Daphnia pulex: one gene and its partners. The protein of the gene in region 1 binds, or shares a complex with, the protein of each later gene. Links are inferred from orthologs where the notes say so. Each region holds a gene or a part of one and is shown in the gene's direction. Other genes may lie near its edges.

Region 1 (4,077 bases):
GTCTTAATGAGATGCTCGGTGCTGTTGCGTAATTAACGTGCCTCGGGACCTCAACTATCTCTCTCTCCATGGGCAAATAACTTGAATAATAAACATGACTGCTGCCATGGGCTTATCTGTCAGTAAACTTCACCATCAGCTGCTGCGCCACAAGCACCCCGGTGCCAAATCAAGTTCCCCTTGTGCCAAGGCCTACATAGTATAGTCTGAGCGAGACAAGGCGGCCTATATCGATCGATCCGTCCAAAGAGCCTCAACCAACCCCCACCACCCAGCCAACTGTATTATCGCACAAGGGAAAAGGCGAAACTGCTATACACACACATATATAGTCTTGGATCAAATAGATGATATATATACAGAGGAAGAAGAAGACTTTGATAATGAGACGTGCTGCTGCTGCCGTTCCTTTATTTATTGGAGACCGGCATCAGCACATCTCGTATTGATTTCCTGTTGCAAAGAGAGCAGCCGTCGTCGTCGAAAAGTTCCCAAATCTTGTCCTACAACTGTCTCTCTATTATCGGATGTACTGTATGCATTGTGGATGCATTATAAAGCCCTACGCCGCAAAAGAGATTTATTGGCCCACACATTGAAAGTCGAAACGGAAGGCGGAAGAGAGACGGAGATGAGGCGAGCTCACGGTCACCGCACATCCACATTTATCATTTGTTATGGGACGAGACTCTGAACTGCCTCGCTGATTCGCATCGCTTCAAAATGAGAATCTATTCACTATAGTATATCAAACTCTTACGTTGGCATTTATGGCCACCGGATTTCAGACTGTTAAGCCAGCTATCCGTTGATAAATCAGATGGTGCAACCCTCCCAACGAGAACAGCATTTATTTTTACGACTGTGTCGTCGTCGTGGGATATATTGGCCAAAGTGAAAGTTTTTAAGGTGTTTACTTTTTTCATATGGCGATGCGCTCAGTTCCGCTCGGCGTCCAACTTGTAACACAGAGAGGGTCGATTTCATCAGCGCTCACTTTTACACGTCGGCGTTAATTGCGTTGCATCAAACGAAAAACACAGTGGGCGGCAACTCGTTATATTTTGCCTTGCCATTAGATGTTATTACAAGCAGATTGCAAGAGACGCGAAGTTCCATTAGAGTTGACAAGCGTTCGTATTTCAACTCGGGGCGGGTATGGATTACTTGACTTTCTTATTCTTTTCCACCCACTCTCGACTTTCATCTCATTACCGTAAAAAATGCCAAGAACGGCTGCGAGGAGAAGGAAAAAGGTTGTTGACTGCGCTCTTATTTTTTTATGGAACGGAGAAGAAAAACGTCGGAAGGAATATGAGAGAGAGACTGTAATAAGAAAAGGCGCGCTAACACTCTCATCTCAAGTGCGTCTATTTATTCCGCCCATCATTAAACCTTATTGGATACATCCAACGCAGAGCATACACACACACACGGCGCCACAATCTTGTAAAAAGTTTTCAGGATCGATACGACGTTTTTCCTTTTTTTATATAATTCCCATCACGTCTTGAGCGCCCCATCCCATTGATGGAGACACAATTTTATGTAAACTCTGGATAATTTAATAATATTCTTTTTTTTTTAATTTGTATCGAATAAAATGTCGATGTTGCGAAAAGCCGAAAATATCCCGCATTTTATCTCGCTCTGTTGCGAAGAAACAATCTGACAACGTTGCATCATAAATTATTCTCGAGTTACAATTTTTGTATTTGGCAACATCTTGGTTGAAAGACTCGACTGAAAACATGGCGTCGTTATCAAGGTATAATAATTATTTTTTTGATTTCCTTGTATTTAAACTATGTATTAATTATGGTCATGTTATTTTATACAGTTATCTCCCAGCGCCAACGCAGTTGACGTGGGATCGAGATGTCGAGGAGCAAAAGGAACGTGCTAATCGCCAAACGGCCATCGTGGCCGCCACAAAGGCAATCCCACCATACGGAAATCGCGATTCATGGATGCCTCGAAATGTTTCCGATTTCGGAGATGGAGGTGCTTTTCCCGAAATTCACATGGCCCAATATCCAATGGACATGGGTCGCAAAGACCAGGCTGGACAAAAGTCAAATGCCTTGGCCATCCAACTTGATGCAGAGGGAAAGATCAAATATGATGCTATTGCCAGGCAAGGCCATGGGAAGGACAAACACGTCTACTCCAAATTCACTGATCTCCTGCCTGCTGAAATTACCAATGAGGATGATCCCTCTTTGCACAAGCCCACAGACGATGAAATTGCAGATATAACAGAGAAAACGAGACAAGCCCTGGAAAGAATCACCAATGCCAAAGTAGAAGCAGCTCTTCCAGTCCGTGCCGCAGAGAGAACTGGCCCTGCTCAATTCATTCGCTACACACCAGCACAGCAGGGTGATGAATTCAATTCTGGCGCCAAACAACGCATTATCCGCATGGTTGAAGTACAAAAAGATCCCATGGAACCCCCAAGGTAAATTTTAGAAAAAGTGCCATTTCATTTCATTCCCATATTGACTGATTATTTTTCACTAGGTTCAAAATCAACCAAAAAATCCCCCGTGGTCCACCTTCTCCTCCTGCCCCCGTGTTGCATTCTCCTACACGTAAAGTAACTGTCAAGGAACAACAGGAATGGAAAATTCCGCCTTGCATTTCAAATTGGAAGAACGCTAAAGGTTACACCATTCCTCTTGACAAACGTTTGGCAGCCGATGGTCGAGGACTTCAACAGGTGCCGTCCCTAACGACCTAAAAACGTGTCTTTCCCCAATCAACTAAATGTTGTTGTTTCTCGCAGGTTCACATTAACGAGAAATTCGCGAAATTGGCCGAATCATTGTACATAGCCGATCGAAAGGCCAGAGAGTCGGTTGAACTTCGCGCCCAACTTCAAAAGAAACAAGCGCAAAAAGAAAAGGAAAAGAAGGAAGATACTCTGCGACAGCTGGCGCAGCAAGTCCGCGAAGAGAGAGCAGGTCTGCGACCCGGTGCAGGCGCTGCTGCTGCTCGTGAAGACGACGATGATGCAGCGGAGCGTGACAACTTGAGACAAGAACGGCATCGTGAGCGTCAACGTGAGCGCAACATTGCACGCGCGGCTCCCGGCGATAAAAAGTATTAAACATTTGATTTCCTTTCAACTTTTTCCAGTCAATTAATTAACAATTTCCATTGACGCGTAGATCCAAACTCGATCGCCAACGCGAGCGTGACATTAGTGAGCAGATTGCATTGGGGATGCCTGCTCGAGCTTCTGCAAGTGGCGAGACCATGTACGATCAGCGTTTACTGAACCAAACTCGTGGAATGGACAGTGGATTCGCCGATGATGAGGCCTACAATGTCTACGACAAACCTTGGCGTGAACAAGGAACTCTGTCCAGTAATCTCTATCGTCCGACCAAGAACCTCGATCAAGATTTGTACGGCGACGATTTGGATAAACTTGTCAAGACCAGCAAGTAAGTTGACCTACTTTCAAGGTGCATTGGTTTATGAAGTTGAAACTCATTTTGTTTTTCATTTGTTTACAGGTTTGTACCTGATAAGGAATTTAGCGGAACTGATCGTTCTGGTCCTTCCGGCTCCCGCAGTGGTCCAGTTCAGTTTGAGAAGGAAGAGGATCCTTTCGGCCTCGACAAGTTTTTGACGGACGTCCGCAAGGCCAGTAGCAAACGACCCACTGACGCGGAACGCTCAGACAAGGACAAGGATAAGAGACGGCGTCGAGACTAAATATTGTTTTTCTTTCCGTTGACGATTTCGCAATTTGTTTCATTTTACCTCACACAAAAAAAAATCTTTTTAAAAAAACCACAAAAACAATGATTCCTTTTCTCCAAGACCAGAATACATTTCAAATGAAATGTCTGTGACTAGTTTTATTTATTCATTGATTACGAGACAAAACACTTGATTCAATACTGTAAAGTGACGAAACATTTTGCAAGAATGTACATAATGGTAAATCGAAAATGCAGCAGAAGACTTGAATATCACCAGACAAGTGTAAGTAATAATCATCATGAAAAGAGTCCAGTGGAAAGTCCACGATAAAAACACCTAGCCTCCAGAAGCCTGTGTAGC
Region 2 (2,553 bases), on another chromosome or scaffold:
GTTATCGCAAAGCAAATTTTAAAAAATCTTCTTGGTGAGGAAAGAATTTTCTTTCACCATGATTTTTTTCAGATTTTAGTAAATTGAACTTTATCCCCAAAGTGCTAGACATAAAGTTTGGAAACATCGGCGCGCTCGCCATATGTTTCCAAGCTAAAGTGTATGCTAGTTAAAAAATCATAAAAAATTGAAATTAATAAATTTTTACTTGAAACTTTTACCAACGGTAGACGACATAGTCGTCTACATTTGGACAAAGTTTCAAATTTTTCTAATGAAACTCTGATTTTTCTCGATTTTTTAAAATAGAAAAATAGAGGGAAGAGAATAGGGGAGAACAAAGGGGTCCGGCGGTTTTCCCTCTTCTATTCTTCCCCCGGGCTAGGATTTCGTCCCTGCGCCACCAAAATAAATCGGAATTGTTTTTTAAAAAATCGGGACAAATCAGAGTTTCATTAGAAAAATTTGAAACTTTGTCCAAATGTAGACGACTATGTCGTCTACCGTTGGTAAAAGTTTCAAGTAAAAATTTATTAATTTCAATTTTTTATGATTTTTTAACTAGCATACACTTTAGCTTGGAAACATATGGCGAGCGCGCCGATGTTTCCAAACTTTATGTCTAGCACTTTGGGGATAAAGTTCAATTTACTAAAATCTGAAAAAAATCATGGTGAAAGAAAATTCTTTCCTCACCAAGAAGATTTTTTAAAATTTGCTTTGCGATAACTCAAACGTGAGTTATCGCGAAAAAAGGGAGACACATTGGCCCGTAAGCCGCCGTGTTAGAAGCGCGGAAACACTCGCCGTGTTTCCAAACTTTGTGAGGGTACTGTATATAATATATTTCGTATCCACGGATATAGCTCCTCTGATTTGATCTATTACACCCCGAAGAGCCATCTCATGAAAATCATGGAAAATCAATTTTATAGCCCACGCACAAATAAAATTCCGTGACGGGCTACCGATGTGGTAGCCTTCAAGTCAACTCTCTTTATTTTTCTTTGATACCTATAATAATGTGCCATCATGTTTGTTTGCCCAGATTCAGGTTTCGGTTTTTTGCCCAGTTTTTTTTTTATGGGGGAATTGGAGACTGCGTTATTTTGACAAGATTAAAAGCGTTAATTTGTTTCAAAATTCGCGCAACCTAAACGGATACATCTCCTACATCTAGCGGTAAAGAATTAAACTCCACCGCAGGTTTTATTATAGCCGTTCTAATGTCGCAATAGTTTTTCCGTTCTAGTTTCGTTTCTAAAATATGGACGTTCTAGTGTCGGGTGGGCGTTCTAGTGACGACGACAGTGATAGTGCCACGACAGATGTCGTGGCAATAGACAGTTTCGACCGTATTGCCACGACATGATGTCGTGGCAATAGATTTAACCATCCCAGTCTTAGAAAAGGTTAAAGCCATCTCTGCTTGTCTATGTGAACTAACTGAAGTTTGCCTTATGATCGCTAGGTGGTAGTTTGCAAAAACAAAGCTTCGACTAGTCGACTCGAATCTAGCTTTGAAGTTTTTTTGTTGATTGACTAAACTAAAAACGCAGTTAAAGCCTGTAGAAAGATGGTGTGCGATAAATGTGAGAAAAAACTGGGTAAAGTTATAACTCCAGACCCATGGAAATCAGGAGCTCGAAATACCACAGAAGGTGGTGGTCGCAAGCTCAATGAAAACAAAGCTCTTACTTCTACAAAAAATCGTTTCAACCCATATACACCGAAATTTGAAGGCTGCAGAATATGTAAACAGAAAGTTCATCAAAATGGATCGTATTATTGTAAGTACCAAAGAATTTATAAGAAAAGAAGCTGAATTGAGTCTAACAAAATTACTGTAATTTGGAATTTACAGGTCAACCTTGTGCTTATAAAAAAGGAATCTGTTCGATGTGTGGAAAGAAAATTATTGACACAAAAAGCTACAAACAATCTTCCACTTGATAATCTGTTGTGTTATGTTGTGTTACAATCTTGTCTATGTCTCCTAATCTTTAAGTGAATGTGACATTGAATGGAATATATGAAATTAAGATGCTTGAAACTCTTTTCGTACTCTAGTGCTTTACTCATGTGAAGTTTGAGACCTTACAATCACTGTAATTATCTTGAGTGGTACTATATTAATTTTTGGTATTAAAATTTGTAAATTTTTCATACCTCAAGTATATGCAGAATATTACCAGTAAATTTTCTTTGTAAATTATCTTATGGCATGGCTAATGGATGGATATGTAAATTATACTCTGAACTCCATCCCTTATTTTGTCAGAGGTAATGCTTAAAAGGTTAAGGACCAAAGGTTAATCTCCTTTGAACAATTAAACTTAGACTGAGAATTGTTTTTTTTATGAGCTCAATAATCAATAAACACAGCGAATGATGTCGTTCTATGCAATTTAGCATTAGAATTAAACATGCTGTTTACATATATATACTAATTCCAGAAAATTTGCAGTACTTTTTACTTGTTGGCTAAGTCCATGCTAAGCAATAACAAACAAAAAATATTACTTGTAAGGCGTTATACGATATATTTCGAGA
Region 3 (2,993 bases), on another chromosome or scaffold:
ATTTCATTAACGTTATTCTCTGTTGAAATATTGGGATGGGTACTATTGCTTTTAACTATAACATGGCAAAAGATGAGCTATATATTGTAGGGGGTTTAATAACTTTACTGCATGGCGATTTCACCAATGGTTTAATGTTATTATGTATCAGGAGAATCGTCATTTGCCAACCAGTTCTTTCATGGCAGCGTACAATCAATTCACTCTCCAATCATCGATGAATTCGACATTGGCGATAATGGAAGCAAAGCTGCACGTGGACAGGCGTTTGTTGTTGATTATACTGTTCGTGCGGTCAGTGATCTAGTGTATTTTCACATGAGCCGATCCCTGTACCAAGCAGTCAGAAGTGCTACCGTCCTAGAGCGGGTACAGCGTGAAGTTGTGCCACGAATGACGGAATGCGAATCTGCTTTCATGTCTAGCAGAGAAGATTCTGATACGGTATGGGATTCCTGCAACTGAATTACTTTTATGTAGATGATAAATATTGTGACTAACCCAATTTTTTTTTTAAATTGCATTTTAGTCTGTAAATTTGACGAACGGGTTTTCACCTATTGAGTTACAACCTGACAGTTCTCGTTGTAATTCTAACTGCCTCCTGACTAGATCTGATCCGGAAAAAGAAAGCCTACTAAGTAGTTCACGAGGTAGTTCATTACCTAGTACCCCAAATGTTTGTGTGGTCGATAGTCGATACAAAAGAAATGACGTTTTCAGTAGTTGTTCACCCCAGACCATCATTAATCATCAAAATGATACTGGAAATTACTCTTTTCCACACCGTTCTGATCGATAATTCCTTGGATAATTCGATTTAGTGAAATATTTGATGAAAACTGGGAAAACAGTTGAACAAATAGTTCGTCTACAACCGCTGGCGCGCTCAAATATTAGTGAAATTGTCGGAGAACGATTAATGTGGATGCATCCTATAAATGTGGTACCACTTCTTGACATTCCCGTTGATAAAATAATAATGTAGAAAAGGGAAGGTGCAAGACGATGCGCACTACTATGGTTTGTTGTTTTATCAATCTAAATTTGTTTTAGTAGTGATTGAAAATCTAGAACTTTCATTGTCAACACATTCACACAGTCGATTTTTTTATTGGTTATTAAAAATAAACCACAAACATATGTATTCCTTTAATGTACTGTAATTGCGTAACATAAATCGTGTGTGGAAATGTAGGAAACCAGTTATGTGAGGTGAAACAAAGTAACCTATTTCGTACTTTTTTTAATTAACAAAATTTCGCGGGTTTTCTGATCAAATCGGGGGAGGAGCATAAAAATCGACACTAGCGACACCACATTGAAAACGAAGAACTATCAACCTGCTTCTTCTGCTTCTTGCATGAGTTGCATCTCGACTCGAGATTCTCGAGTAAGAATCCAACTTCTGTCGTGTGTCCTTGATTAGTTGATTTTAATTGTGTTGGGGGAAAAGCGTTTAGTAACTTTGGAGGTTTTCAAGAGTCGGATACAACAGAGCAACTCTTTCATCAAAGCCAAGTACAAGTAGCATTTTCCACAGTAATTGAAAAATCGTTAGAAAATGACAACTGCTTCGCGACCAACATTTGCCCCTGCTACTGGAGGACAAGGCAGGGGAGAAACGTCTCTCAGTTCTATGAGTAAGCAATATTCGAGTCGAGATCTTGCATCACATACTAAACTAAAATACAGGTAAAATTTAAATTTAATTCAAAAATTCTGACATTCTAATTTTATTTCTTTTGATAGGGATATTGGTCAGGGATCATCAGAGGAAATTCGCAACAAGGATCTAAAAAGAGATCTAGAAGAACGGGAAAAATCTCATAAGGAAAAAGGAGATCGCAAAGACAGAGATAGGGCTGTTAAATCAGCTTCGTCAGTATCTTCCCAGTAAGTCTGAAAAACATTTAACTTTTTTTCCCTATCTCTACAAACTATTTCAGTTATGGGATTAAAGAATGTGTTAACACTTTGCAGGAAGAAATTACGTGTTGATCCTAGTAGCTTGGATGCAGATGATCCCATTGAAGACGAAAGTGATGACAGTGTTGATGAAGAAGATGAAGATGACACTGCTGAATTAATGGCAGAGCTTCAGAGAATAAAGGGTGAACGAGCATCTGAATTGGCCAAAAAGGTATTATCATTGACTTAGATGCTCTTGTTTGTCAAATACACAAATTGCTTGTTTTTCAGGAAATGGAACAGAGACAAGAAGAGGAACGTATCAGAATGGAAAATATTTTAAGCGGAAATCCATTGTTAAATTACGCTGGGAAACCTCAGAAATCTGACTTGCGTGTCAAACGACGATGGGATGACGATGTTGTCTTCAAAAATTGTTCCCGTGCTGAGCCGGAAAGGAAAGAAATCACTTTTATTAATGATTCACTTCGGTCTGAATTTCATAAGAAATTCATGGACAAGTATATTAAATAATTTTTTATGTTCCATGCATTTGATTAAATACATTTCCTGTCTTAATTACTAAGTTTATTTGTAAAATTTTTTTTTGTGGCTGATTCGTTAATCGTCTGTAAAGGACTAAAGACACTTTAATTCAGTATACCAATTTTTCCTTTAAAAAGTTTTCTTATTCATTCATTGGCATACTTACAATATAAGAAAATATTTTTAAATTATTTATTCCTCTTTGTTCATCAAATAGAATTTTATAATTCTAAATATTAGAAATTGTTGACATTACAATAAAAAAAAACCTCGATCTCTTTATTATCGCGACGTGACGACTCTAGTCGTCATAATCTTCGATGATGATATCAGCGTCCTCGTCCCGATCCTTTTTACCATTCGAGTTTACGGAGTCCACTACATTTGCTGAAAAATCAGTGGATTGACTAACTTGAAACTGGTGGTAATTAAGCTGGCCTGATGTTGATTTTAACCCTGTATCAATTTAATTAAATGAATAATAATAAGATATTTAAAAATAAAGAGAAATGAGATCTCACCGTCTGTTATTTTAG
Region 4 (4,050 bases), on another chromosome or scaffold:
CTCGGCGTATCCTCACTGGACACAAGAAAGCCATGACTCAGGTGTGCACCAGACACTCAACACACACTAACACACGCACTATTAACTCGAAATCGATTGGTAAAATGCACTTGATTAGTTTAATTTGTTTGACACAATTAGCAGGGCAATGTCGATTGTTGTATGTTCAGTCGTCAGGTGAGAATGAGAATTGACACAGCAGCAGAAAGAGTCAGCCTGGAAGAAGGCCTGGTTTCTGCTTCTGTTCCATGGCCTCCGCCAATACCCACTGGCACTGCACACCTTGAAAAACAGTCTCTGCTGGTAGATGGGAAGAAGAAGAAGAAGAAGAAGAAGCAACAACTTTACCTCCCAATCCCCCCTCTAACCAATTCCATCCAACCAGGTTTTCTCAAATACAGTTTGTTGCCTTTATGCTCCAGGGGCTCTTTTTCTTACCTTCTTCTTCTTCTTCTTCCTTCATTCACATTCTTTCCCTCTATATGCACCTTTATTATTATATACCTTTGGGCTCTTCTTCTTCTTCTTTCGCTGCTGCTGCTGCTGCTGCTAATTTATTTCTTCCCTTTTCTTGAGGATTGGAGTTTTTTTTGTTTGGGAAGGAAGAGACGCTTTTTACCTGTGCACACCGCCGCGTCTTATAGCCTAGCGGTCACGTAAAAGGTGCGCGCATGCCAGCTCAAGCTAAAAGGGATGTAGTCAGTCAACCAACAAGAAAGCCTTTTATTTTCTTAATTCATTTTTTTTTCTTCTTTTCAACCATTTCTGTCTGTGGTTGATTTATACTTTTTGATGGTTATCTTATTACACTTAAAAAAAAAAAGCCTTTGGGGACAAAGTTGCACCGGTCGTACAGTTATTTTATAAAGGCAAAGAGAGTTCAAGGAGCTCAAGTCTACTTAATAAGCAGTGACCGTTTGCTACCTACTCGCAGGATCAAATGACAAAACAGGTTCCTTGCAATTTTGGCTTCAACTGAAAAAACGACATTTTTCTTATAGTCAAATTAACCGGTTGGACGCGCCATGATTTCGGGATACATTATTTCGCGTCGATAAATTGAGAGGAAACCTTAGATTGGCATTTTCCCGTTATTCGTCCAATTGATTTTGTCATCGAAGAAAATTAGTTATGCGTAGCGTAACCCATATTTGATATGTTTTGTCCTTTTTTTCTTTCAGAAGCGCTGGCAGGAGCTGGCGCTATGCATATGCAGCAGTCGATTTATTTTTCTAAACTGGCAATGCTGTTTCCATTTTCCTGACTGAAGGGACAAGAGGGAAGGCGATCAATTGAGTTAGGGGTCCTCCATTTAAGACTTGAGTTTAGCCCGGCTTTATTCTCCCATTTATTTTTACTTTTATAGAATTACCTCGATTTGAGGTATTTTTCTTTCACAATGACTGATGCCGGTTTCTTCAGAGTAAGTGTTAATAATTACCCAAGTTAGAACTATTATTCCCTTGAATTGTTTGCAGCATCTCGACACGCCAACTCGGTCGTAAAATTCTTGCTTCATCAGTTGTGAAATCTGTTTTGTTAACTGATGGGATGCATTGTAATATTTGAATTCTTTCAACAGGGCACCTCAACTGAGCAAGACAATAGATTTAGTGACAAAGAGAAGAAGCTTTTGAAGACTATCAAATTTGCTGAAAATGTGACTAGAAAGGTAAATTATTGATCACCTGTGCAACTTTAACAACATCAATATGAGTTACATGTTAATATTCATTAATGCATGTTAAAAAATTCAGGTGGATATGAGCAAAGTTAAGTTGGAAACCATCAAACCATGGATCACAACCAAAATTACAGAACTTATGGGAGGAATTGAAGATGACGTCCTGGTGGAATATGTTTTTAATCAGCTCGAAGCTGACAAGGTAATATCCTTTTAATCTCAGCCGTGTAGATTTATCTTATGGGAAACATTTGCCACCAAAGCTTTTCACCAATCATTCTGCTGTTTATCTTATGCAATTTTTTTAATATCAGGCTGAAATAGCCATCACATACTAAGAATGATTGAACGTCAGCTCCTTTGCATCTGGTTCTTGTTTGTAATTTGGTTTAATGTGAAAGATAAGTTATGATTTAAGTTTTCACCACCCAGATGGCTTTGATTATATTTTGTCTGTGCTCATGCTCATCTCAATATCTTGTACACTTTTGGGTCCTGTGTTATGAAGACTTAATGTGGAATTGCATCAAAGCCTTGTTGTCACCATGTCACACACACCACCTTGACATGATGGATGCAAGGATTCTTTCTCGACCGAGACCTGGTCGCATTATTTCGAGGTCTTCTCTTCGAATTGATTCACCTTTCGGCCTGTTCCGTGGACGATTCCTCTTATCGTCGGCCACGATGTCTATGGATTTGGATTTCCAACGTTTCGCAGTCGACCGATGAAGGATTCACTCCTGCGAAATGATGGAATACGGCACGTTCTAAACCATCGAGTCATGAGAGGCAATTCTGGGATCGCCTTTCGCCCAGCCAATGCAACGCCTTCTCCCCCAGTTGATAGTTAACCGCACAGTCGACAACAGGGAAAACTCCTGTGTGGTTAAGTCGGGCTCTGATCGCAGTAGGCCTACTCAGGAATCCGTGTTGAGAAGCTGAGAAGAAGAGATCCTTTCGTCTCGGCCCAAAAAGCAGGACGGTACAGTCGACAGAGATAAGACTCCTGTGCCGTTCGCTAACGTGGTCGAAGCTGCTAGATTTGCCTGATAGATGACGACAGACCATCCCATCTTTAAAAATCACCTGATCGATCGCATCGTGGTGCCGGGGTAGCCATCAGGAGTAGGACTAGTCAGATGACGACCCAATAGCTGGGCGGTACAGTCGACAGGACAACTCCTGTGCCGCTCGCTTCGTGGTCGTCTCTTTGATACCGAGTCGCCGGTGTTTTTATGACGGATGGGAAACTCGGTTCTCCCTCAACGCCCAGATTGGAAAAAAAGAAATAAGAGATTTTTTTCTGTTGTCACTCTGGTCGAGCTCTCAGGCAAGAATAACAAACCAAAACAAACTACGTAAAACAGCTTATCCTTTTAAAGAGCAAACCCCTGAAAGGTATTGCTCGCTTAATCCGCCGAGATCATACCGAAACCTAATCTATTTGTGTCCGTTTACTTAAGTATCTCTTTTCCATTTCGGTTGTTTGATTTTTCTGTTATTTGTCTTTTTTTTTTCTTAAAACCTATAGAACCCTGACCCTCGTCGCATGCAAATCAATTTAACTGGATTCCTCAACGGCAAGAATGCCAGGATTCTGATGACTGAATTGTGGGATCTTCTACTATCTGCCCAAGAATCGTCTGCTGGAATTCCGGAGGTCTTTATGGCACAGAAGAAGGAAGAAATCAAATTAAGAAAGGTATGCAACCATCGGAAATAATTCGCGGTATTAGTTTTGTTTCTATCATTTTCGTCTTTATTGGTTTGCAGGAAGAACAAGATCGAATCCAGGAAGCAATCAAAAAGGCCGACCGGGATCGGCGCGCTGACCGAGAAAAGGAACGCAACGACCGTACTGACAAACGAGCTTCCAAAGATAGAAGCCGTAGCCCCAACAAGGACAGGGTGATCAAGAAGGAAGGAGACAATCCCCGCTCTTCACCTCGTCGTGACGGCCGACGTCCTTCATTGGAGCGTCGTTCTCCTAATCGAGGCAAGGCGTCGCCACCGCCTCGTCGTCGCTCACCTGCCAGATCGCCAGCAAGGCGCTCGCCTCGTCGATCTCCACGTCGATCACCTGTTCGTCGCTCCCCAGCTCGCCGTTCTCCTGCACGCAGATCTCCCGCTCGTCGCTCGCCAGCTAGACGATCACCCGTTCGCCGCTCTCCCGCTAGGAGATCTCCAGTTCGAAGGTCCCCAGCCCGCAGATCTCCTGTTCGTCGGTCACCGGTCCGCAGGTCGCCCGTTCGAAGATCTCCCAGGCGTTCACCTGTTCGTAATCATTCTCCTCGGCGTCCTTCACCACGCCGTTCGCCCGTGAGGAAGTCACCCGTTCGACACCGGTCGGCGGAACGTCGTCG
Region 5 (4,287 bases), on another chromosome or scaffold:
GTGGGTGTCAGACGGGCCGAGAATAATAAGGGGGAAATCATAATAAGTTTGGGTCAAGAATACAAATGAACCGGAAAATTCTGTCAATGGAGTATACCTGTCATATAATAGTTACCGCGGCTATTGTTCCAACATTTTCTTAACTAACATTTTAAACTTTTTTTGTTTTTTCTATTGTTGGACGTCACGGACAGAAATGGCTATGCTGTTACCGGCTTCGTTTGGTGCCAGCCGCCGGATGAACGACAGCCACGACATCCGCAAGAATCTGCGCTTCCGCAACGCTGAGCTCGCCCAGGAGCACCCGGAAGGTTCCACCAACGAGTGAGGATACATACCTATAAACAATCAAGCCACAAAATTTAAGAAATTTTCGACACCAATGATTGCTCTTCAATTGGACGTTGAAAATTGGCGCATACATGTTGCAATAACACTTCCGTCTTTATTCAGTTACTGCGTGACATTCGAGCTGACCAAAGTGTCCAAGGCCTGCCACAAAGAGAAAGTGTTCAACTCTCTTACTGACGGTAATTGACTTCCGGAATAATAATATCCGGATGGAAATATCATTTTTCAAAAATTGTGTTTTGATACATTTATTTTATTTTATTCCTTTTCGTGGTTTAGGCGGCGTCGTCTGTGTTCGATGTGAACACAAGGCTACTCGTGACTATTTGGGAGGCCGTTGCGGTGGTCACGGAGTGCCGGGTAGAATTACACGCTGGACATCGCTGACCAACGTCGAGTGCCATGGCAAATGGCTCAGACGTCCGGATGAATCTCACGAGGTTTCCAGCTCGACTTGTTCGTGCGACGAGGACGCTCTGTTAATTTTCGTTTAGGTCTCAACACAAGAGACGCAAACTATAAGGAAACGAACAAGGAAGAAGATCAATTTTAAACAAAATCTCCTTAAATTTGTTATGCTACCACATTAATTATTTCTATTTTTTTTTCTTTGTCTTTCGAATCATTCTTTTTTTTTACCTAAAATATTCGATCTGAGGGTGGTTTAATTAAAAAAAACGCGAATGAAACGAGCGAAAGCTAGAACAAAAAAATTAACTGTCGACCCACCCATCGAGTTTAATGCGAGTGTGAAAATACACAGAAAGGGAAATTTCCATAGAACCAATTTATTCACTTAATCTTTTGTTTGCTGTCAGCTGCCTAGTCTATAGTGGAGTCTAGCAATTATTATGCATTGTTGACTTTCATATCGCTTAGGCTTAGCCGTCTTCTTTGAATGGTTCCTCTTAATTATCTTATCTCGAATCATTTTGAGGCTTTTATGAAGGTCGATCCTGGCCCCCTAGTGGCTGAACGTCCAACGACCAATATTTCATCATTTAATTTGGCCAATGAAATTCTTGATGATGTGATCGTTGGATGTTATTTTTCGTACATAAAATTTTTTTTTAAATGGTAGAACAATTCAATAATCGTTATAAAAAGACAAAAAGTTTAAAAGTTTAAGTCGAGCGGTTGAAGCTTGAAGGGTAAGCAGACGACGTTCAAGACAGTGTGCCAAAACAACAAGTCGGTTTATTAGTCGTTTGGCGTTCTATTCCATAAACTGAAAAAAGTTTGCTCGATTTTAATTTGTGTATTTCACAGAGAACTTTGATACTGTTTTTCTTCATCAAAGCGTGAAAACTATCTGAAAATGGGAAAACGACAACACCAGAAAGATAAAATGCAAGTTCTAAGATATTTCAATTTGAATGATATGTTTAGTATGAAAACACTAACTAGTTTACTATCTTATATTTAGGTACTTGACAAGTACAGAGTGGAGCACATTGTATGGTGGGAAGAAGCCTGTTAATCCAAATAGTGCCAGTGCTTCATTTCGACGACTTCCATATGATCACTGTGCCTTGTCACTTCAGCTTTTTGAGAATCCTTTGTGTGACACTGAAGGAAATGTTTTCGACCTTCTTGCTATAGTTCCATACTTGAAAAAGTATAAAACTAATCCAGTAACAGGAAAAGTAAGTTTTGCTTATGGGTATTGCATGTTTGCTTCATCCGATAAACTTGAACTAGAAAGGCATGTTTATGAGAATTTAATTTTTCTAGCCATTGGAAAGCAAAGCCCTTCTGAGGTTAAATTATCATAAAAATGCTGAAGGGGCATACCATTGCCCTGTATTGTTCAAGCAGTTCACAGACAAATCCCACATTGTGGCCATCAGAACTACTGGAAATGTGTTCTCCTATGAGGCAGTAGAGCAACTCAATCTGAAGCCCAAAAACTGGAAAGAGTTGTTAACAGATGAAACATTTGCTCGTCAAGACATTATCACTCTTCAAGACCCATCTCACCTAGAAAAGTTTAACATCGCTAAATTTTATCATGTAACGCATGACCAAAAAATCGAAAATGAAGGTAATTTGTTGTCTTATTGATTATAGACTTAACAACGCCAATTGATTTGCTTTCATAAATATGATTCTCTCTACTAGAATTAATAAGGGCCAAAACCGATCCTGCAGCCCGTCTCAAATACATCAATGCAGAAACGAAGGGAGTTTTGGCAGAATTAGAACAGGAATACAAGGCACCTGAAGAGACTGTAACTGTAAAAGCAGTAGCTGATTCCATTAATGCGGTAATTTGATTCAGTTAAAGTTTTAAATTTATCCCTTTTATTTATTATTATTTTCGTTTTTATAACTTGTTTATAAAACAAAAAAAAACTATCAGGCTCATTATTCCACCGGGGCTGTCGCTGCTGGTTTTACTTCTACGGTGATGGCACCAGAAACTAAGCATGAACCAGCAATTCTCGATGAAAGTATCGTTCGATATCAGCGCATTAAGAAAAAAGGTTAAAGTAGTTTCTTGTAATGAATTCTTCACAAACCATCTAAATTTGTTTTTATTTCATCAATTTAATTTCTTAGGTTATGTTAGACTAGTTACAAATGTCGGGCCTCTTAATTTAGAGTTACATTGTGAAATGGTACCTAAAACGTGTGAAAATTTCGTCAACCTGTGCAAAAAAGGCTACTACAACAACACCAAGTTTCATCGGTCTATCAAGCATTTCATGGTACTGTAGATCTCAACGTGATCACGGGCTGTTACAGAGATTTCCTAACAAAAATTTTCCAGATTCAAGGTGGCGATCCCACTGGAACTGGTACCGGAGGAGAGTCTTGCTGGGGAGGATCATTTGAAGATGAATTTAAGCCGAATCTATCCCACACCGGTCGGGGTATTTTATCGATGGCGAACTCGGGAACCAACACTAATAAATCTCAGTTGTACGTTTAAATTATCTAGTTCTATGCATACATTACGCATCAATTTGATTATTACTCTTTCAGTTTTATCACCTATCGCTCGTGTAAACATCTGGACGGAAAGCACACAATATTCGGTCGTGTCGTGGGTGGAATGGAAACTTTGAGCGCTATGGAACGAATTGGTACTGACAATAAAGATCGACCCGTAGAAGAGATTATTATTGAGTCGTCACAGATATTTACAGACCCATATGCCGAAGTAGACGAAAAGGTTGCCGAGAAAATCAATTCAACCTTAGAAGCAAAATTTACTTTTGTTTTTACATTTTAGTTGGTGATTGAGAGAGCCGCAGCGCTAGAAGAAGCTGAGAGACAGTTGAAGGAAGCAAAGGCTTCCATCCCTAAAGCCCAGCTTAAGGTTTTCAAACAATCTGGTGTAGGAAAATACATCAACCCTAAAGCTTTCACCAACAAGTATATCTTTAATTTTCTATTAAATAAAATAGTTTCATTGCAGCTTATTATTATTTTTTTTTATAGACCAGCTGATTCGGCTGGAGAAGAATCCGGCAGTTCTCAACATAAAAAAGCTAAAACATCTGCTAACTATTCATTTGGTAATTTCAGTAATTGGTGACCTTCCCGGATATTGGATTATTCTTTGCTTACTTGTGGCTGATTTTTTAAAAATAAACTCTTTCTCGAACACTTGTTCTTATCAAATTGTATGTCATTTTTTTTACTCAATAATTCTGTAGCAATTAAAAATAAAAATCGAAAAAGGGGAAGGAAGGGTTCACAATTTTACTGACTTTTTTTTATATGCGACGGCAACGCAGCATTGTCCTCTCGTCTGCCAAAACGACACACGATGGATGACAAACCGGTAAGCAAACCACATTTATGATAAATAATAATTTGTTAAATTACGCGTTCAATAATCAATGTCTTTTGGTGATTTGTTTTCTAGTTAGCGAAAGCGCTGAAAGATTTACCCTTGAGGGTACAATCAGCCAGCTATCTCGAACG
Region 6 (3,661 bases), on another chromosome or scaffold:
CCACTTTGAACAGCCATGCCCGGAAGTCGCGTTGTGTTGGGATAGACAGATGTGCGCCCTTCCGGGGCGAAATCTTTGGGATCAGAAAAGAGTATCACTCCAAGAGCTCCTCCATCTTCGGCGGATTTCACCTGTAGTACAAATATCAAATGTTAGTAATAATTCAATACATTTTTAAAAATAATTGATTACGATATTGCCACGAAAAATCGCCCCATATCGAGCAATCACAATTCGACCACGAATGTCTATGCCGAGAGATTTCAAGTACTCAAAATCTTGTTTCCGACCATAATTTGCGTAAATGAGTTCCCCCTATGAAATGGTGTAATTAAGTTAAGTGTCATCAATAAAACAACGATAGAAATTTAATTTCACCTCGACAGTTCCGTTAGCTGAATAAGCGTTAAAATTGGGTTGAACTAACGGAGAGAATTCTTCGCTGGAAAAGAGTGGCGTCTGACGTCCTGAGGTGGTGAAGTTCACCTTGCCGTTGGAGTCGAGTAGCGAGACCTGATTGGGGTTGCTCATGTCTGGGTAGGAAAGCAGCACCTTGTAAGGAACCAATTGGACTTCGTCTAATCCTCCCTCGACGAAACGATCGCGCACCCAACTAGCCACTTCCAAATCCTGTGGAGTTCCAGCTAAATTCGGTATACTGCTCAAATATCTGTGACAATCATTTTGGGAGTTAATTAGACAATGAATCAAATTTGTCTTTTGATTAGCGATGATGTTGGACTTACTTGAGATATTCGCCAATATTTGATGCACTGAGCTCCTCCATCAAAGTGGCAGACATTTTCGCCTTCTGAGGCGACACGTCGTCCCTATCATTTCCGATAGCGTAACGACCGATGAGAATTCCTTTGTCAGGTGGAAAGATGAAGTCAAACCAACACATACAGTAACATTTCAAATGATTACGATACCTATGATAAGACAAATTACAGAAGCCGTGCAAATTAAAATCCAGTTGGGTTTTTGCGCCATCGTTTCGCTGCGATCACTTCTCCACACCCTTCCGTTCTCGTTTACTGTACCTCAAATAATAACGACGGTTTGAAAAGAAACAGGTTATTAAATAGCTGAAAATATGACAATGAAAGCACGGGAAGTGCGGGTAGAAAGTCGGGTTCGAGATTGCGTGTTCCATATGCAGCGGCACGCAAATACCTGGACAGTAACTAAGGTGATTTGACAAGCCAACCAGACCATCGGTTGCTTGTGGTTTAACACAAGACAGGTCGCATGCTTAACTGACGGGTGACTCTTGTAAAAAATGTAAACGCCATAGGCAATGAATACATTTCTTTAAAATCGCTATTACATAAATCTATTTTTTTTAAACAATTTTTTTTATTTTGAAAACTTCCCGATAGATGGTGTATAGTTTCACGCGTTAACCATAGGTGGAGCTTGTATTCATATTTCGTGTGAAAGCGTTGACAAACGCGAGGGATTACGGTTTGTAAATATTCCCCTGAAATTATTGTAAAAATGAGTGCTCCTATGAGCAAATTAGAATATCTGAAAAAGTACATGTCCTCTTCGAAAAAAGAAGAAAATAAAGTCAAGAAAAAGAAACTCAGGCCCTTACTGAAAGCCAAAGGGTAAGTCAGGCTTTTTGTGAACTTTAGACAATACACATCATTTTTTAATTTTAACTTAAGCTTTTTCTTAATCTAGTCAATTTGTTTTCATTTACTTATTAGGGGCATCAAGATCGTTGATGAAGAAATAGATTTGAGGAAGATAGCTGCAGGATACGAGAAAGATGAAGACCAAATTGACAACCAAGAAGATGCTCCTCTGGTGGCTGGGGTTGTCGATAATCGTTCCATAGAAATGATAACCAAACAAGACTTTGTGGAAAGTTCAAAGTGGAAGAGACTTGGTGTGGATGAAAATGACAAACCAAAATCCATGTCTAAATCAAGTGATCGAGATATTGATTCAAGTGACAGTCACTTACCAAGGAAAGATTCCACTGCCTTGAAACGACCAATCACAGTGAAGAAAGAAAGACATGATTCAGATTCAGATCCCAGTCCTCCACGTAGAAGACACGATTCTGATTCAGATGCCAGCCCACCTAGAAGAAAGCGCCATGATTCAGACTCTGATCCATCTCCACTTAGAAGAACGAGAAAAGACTCTGATCAAAGCCCACCACGAAAACGTCACGATTCAGACTCAGATGCTAGTCCTCCTCGAAGAACAAGGAAAGACTCGGATCAAAGCCCACAACGAAAGCGACACGATTCAGACTCGGACCAAAGTCCATTAAGAAGGCGTAAAGGCTCCGATTCCGACCAGAGTCCACCAAGAAAGCATCAAAATGCTGACGGTGATCTCAGTCCTCCGCGGCGGAAGAAAAACGTTGATTCCGGTGCCCAAATGCGCATCAAACCAGATCCAGACGGAGACCTCAGCCCTGAGCGTCCTAATAAATCAACATCACGCAGCGGAGGAGCTTCGGAGAAACTGACCAAAACCCTAGATGGAAAGATGGCCGGCCTTCAGACTGGCAGAGCTTTGCGTGAGGAGACTGATGCATTACGCAAGAGAGAAGAGGAAGCCTTCCGCAAAATGGACAAATCACTCACTGGGCAGAACGCCACGACTGCCATCCGAGCTGGCAAGCTGCGCCAAATTGAAGCCAAGCAACAGGTTGATAAAGAAAAAGCCGAGAAGATTGCCAAGCTGCAAGAAGCTTACCAAAAATGGAACAAGGGTCTTAAACAAGGAGAAACGCATTCGACGCAAGTTGCCGAAGCCATTCACGAAATGTCCAAACCGCTGGCTCGTTTCGCCGATGACGAAGATTTGGAAAGGTTGTTACGCGAACAAGATCGTGAAGGTGATCCCATGGCTGCTTACATGGCCAAGAAAAAGGTCAAGAGCGGTGGTGACGGCAAGGGGAAAGCCGCTAGACCTGTCTACAGGGGCCCTGCTGCTGCTCCCAATCGTTTCGGTATACTACCCGGCTACAGATGGGACGGGGTTGACCGCTCGACTGGCTACGAGAAGATGTACTTTGAAAAACAAAACAACGCCGTGGCCCTTCAGGAGGAAGCCTACAAATGGAGTGTATCCGACATGTGATTCCGATGATGAATTTACCTTGACTGAATAAAGCCATGCAATTACTTTTAGTAGCCAATGACGCCTGTCCTTGTTCTTAACATTTCCCTTTTTATTACCTCGACGGAATGGGGCCCATCCATCAACATTCAAAATTGCAGGGTTTTTTTCAGATTCAACGAGAGGCGCGCGGAGGAAATTCCATGCGGATGGCGTCAACACTTTGCACATTTTCCGAGTCGCGACTCTACCAGCAGTTCGTGAAAGTTGCCCAACCCATGTTGTAGAGGAGGTGCGGCTATTCATGAATCGTCCGTCGTGGTTGAATCGGAAAATTCTATCCGGAAGATGACACCCTTTCCGGCCTTGGCTGCCTTCAAATCATTTTTCTTCTGTTGTTCAGCAGCAGAAAAAGAAAAGAAAGAAAAGGCGTTGGGGTCGTTTCTGTTGAGTGTGTCGAGTGCGCTATGGCCAGATGGCGCTTTGGCTGAGTGTGTCGAAAGAGAAGGGAGGAAGGTCACGGCACGAAGTGGGCCGGCCGTTTTCAGGTGTGCCCTGTTGTCCGTGTTGTCTA

Evidence for each region. Proteins that work in one complex are often made in the same cells at the same time.
Region 2: puff-specific protein Bx42-like (region 1) and cysteine-rich PDZ-binding protein-like share a complex: the UniProt entries of both Homo sapiens proteins name them as parts of the minor spliceosome. The link is inferred for Daphnia pulex from reciprocal best matches to the Homo sapiens genes SNW1 and CRIPT.
Region 3: puff-specific protein Bx42-like (region 1) and spliceosome-associated protein CWC15 homolog share a complex: the UniProt entries of both Homo sapiens proteins name them as parts of the minor spliceosome. The link is inferred for Daphnia pulex from reciprocal best matches to the Homo sapiens genes SNW1 and CWC15.
Region 4: puff-specific protein Bx42-like (region 1) and serine/arginine repetitive matrix protein 1-like share a complex: the UniProt entries of both Homo sapiens proteins name them as parts of the minor spliceosome. The link is inferred for Daphnia pulex from reciprocal best matches to the Homo sapiens genes SNW1 and SRRM1.
Region 5: puff-specific protein Bx42-like (region 1) and RING-type E3 ubiquitin-protein ligase PPIL2-like share a complex: the UniProt entries of both Homo sapiens proteins name them as parts of the minor spliceosome. The link is inferred for Daphnia pulex from reciprocal best matches to the Homo sapiens genes SNW1 and PPIL2.
Region 6: puff-specific protein Bx42-like (region 1) and BUD13 homolog share a complex: the UniProt entries of both Homo sapiens proteins name them as parts of the minor spliceosome. The link is inferred for Daphnia pulex from reciprocal best matches to the Homo sapiens genes SNW1 and BUD13.

The regions. Positions count from the first base shown.
Region 1 is NC_060018.1:216,102-220,178, forward strand, and holds puff-specific protein Bx42-like, read left to right. Parts: upstream 1-1,277; 5' UTR 1,278-1,751; coding exon 1,752-1,768; intron 1,769-1,840; coding exon 1,841-2,461; intron 2,462-2,523; coding exon 2,524-2,722; intron 2,723-2,788; coding exon 2,789-3,105; intron 3,106-3,173; coding exon 3,174-3,452; intron 3,453-3,524; coding exon 3,525-3,726; 3' UTR 3,727-3,861; downstream 3,862-4,077. Other genes in the region: uncharacterized protein LOC124188708, read right to left, coding at 4,014-4,077. UniProt on the Homo sapiens protein: Involved in pre-mRNA splicing as component of the spliceosome. As a component of the minor spliceosome, involved in the splicing of U12-type introns in pre-mRNAs.
Region 2 is NC_060021.1:4,590,171-4,592,723, forward strand, and holds cysteine-rich PDZ-binding protein-like, read left to right. Parts: upstream 1-1,456; 5' UTR 1,457-1,576; coding exon 1,577-1,790; intron 1,791-1,864; coding exon 1,865-1,953; 3' UTR 1,954-2,053; downstream 2,054-2,553. UniProt on the Homo sapiens protein: As a component of the minor spliceosome, involved in the splicing of U12-type introns in pre-mRNAs. Involved in the cytoskeletal anchoring of DLG4 in excitatory synapses.
Region 3 is NC_060025.1:5,440,217-5,443,209, forward strand, and holds spliceosome-associated protein CWC15 homolog, read left to right. Parts: upstream 1-1,328; 5' UTR 1,329-1,564; coding exon 1,565-1,695; intron 1,696-1,752; coding exon 1,753-1,896; intron 1,897-1,983; coding exon 1,984-2,143; intron 2,144-2,202; coding exon 2,203-2,445; 3' UTR 2,446-2,493; downstream 2,494-2,993. Other genes in the region: unextended protein-like, read left to right, coding at 152-444, 530-802; cell cycle checkpoint protein RAD17-like, read right to left, coding at 2,759-2,913, 2,979-2,993. UniProt on the Homo sapiens protein: Involved in pre-mRNA splicing as component of the spliceosome. Component of the PRP19-CDC5L complex that forms an integral part of the spliceosome and is required for activating pre-mRNA splicing.
Region 4 is NC_060027.1:2,460,234-2,464,283, forward strand, and holds the start of serine/arginine repetitive matrix protein 1-like, read left to right. Parts: upstream 1-1,250; 5' UTR 1,251-1,399; coding exon 1,400-1,423; intron 1,424-1,582; coding exon 1,583-1,672; intron 1,673-1,757; coding exon 1,758-1,886; intron 1,887-2,199; exon of another isoform or gene 2,200-3,017; intron 3,018-3,218; coding exon 3,219-3,389; intron 3,390-3,460; coding exon 3,461-4,050. Other genes in the region: SH3 domain-containing protein Dlish-like, read right to left, coding at 1-34. UniProt on the Homo sapiens protein: Part of pre- and post-splicing multiprotein mRNP complexes. As a component of the minor spliceosome, involved in the splicing of U12-type introns in pre-mRNAs. Involved in numerous pre-mRNA processing events.
Region 5 is NC_060022.1:781,503-785,789, forward strand, and holds RING-type E3 ubiquitin-protein ligase PPIL2-like, read left to right. Parts: upstream 1-1,487; 5' UTR 1,488-1,669; coding exon 1,670-1,701; intron 1,702-1,777; coding exon 1,778-1,997; intron 1,998-2,085; coding exon 2,086-2,395; intron 2,396-2,472; coding exon 2,473-2,618; intron 2,619-2,713; coding exon 2,714-2,837; intron 2,838-2,913; coding exon 2,914-3,062; intron 3,063-3,124; coding exon 3,125-3,276; intron 3,277-3,339; coding exon 3,340-3,529; intron 3,530-3,589; coding exon 3,590-3,732; intron 3,733-3,798; coding exon 3,799-3,895; 3' UTR 3,896-3,966; downstream 3,967-4,287. Other genes in the region: somatomedin-B and thrombospondin type-1 domain-containing protein-like, read left to right, coding at 195-324, 454-530, 631-845; eIF-2-alpha kinase activator GCN1-like, read left to right, coding at 4,130-4,144, 4,229-4,287. UniProt on the Homo sapiens protein: Has a ubiquitin-protein ligase activity acting as an E3 ubiquitin protein ligase or as an ubiquitin-ubiquitin ligase promoting elongation of ubiquitin chains on substrates.
Region 6 is NC_060019.1:12,606,282-12,609,942, forward strand, and holds BUD13 homolog, read left to right. Parts: upstream 1-1,477; 5' UTR 1,478-1,500; coding exon 1,501-1,613; intron 1,614-1,715; coding exon 1,716-3,108; 3' UTR 3,109-3,161; downstream 3,162-3,661. Other genes in the region: glutamate carboxypeptidase 2-like, read right to left, coding at 1-131, 193-315, 379-670, 747-867, 933-993. UniProt on the Homo sapiens protein: Involved in pre-mRNA splicing as component of the activated spliceosome. As a component of the minor spliceosome, involved in the splicing of U12-type introns in pre-mRNAs.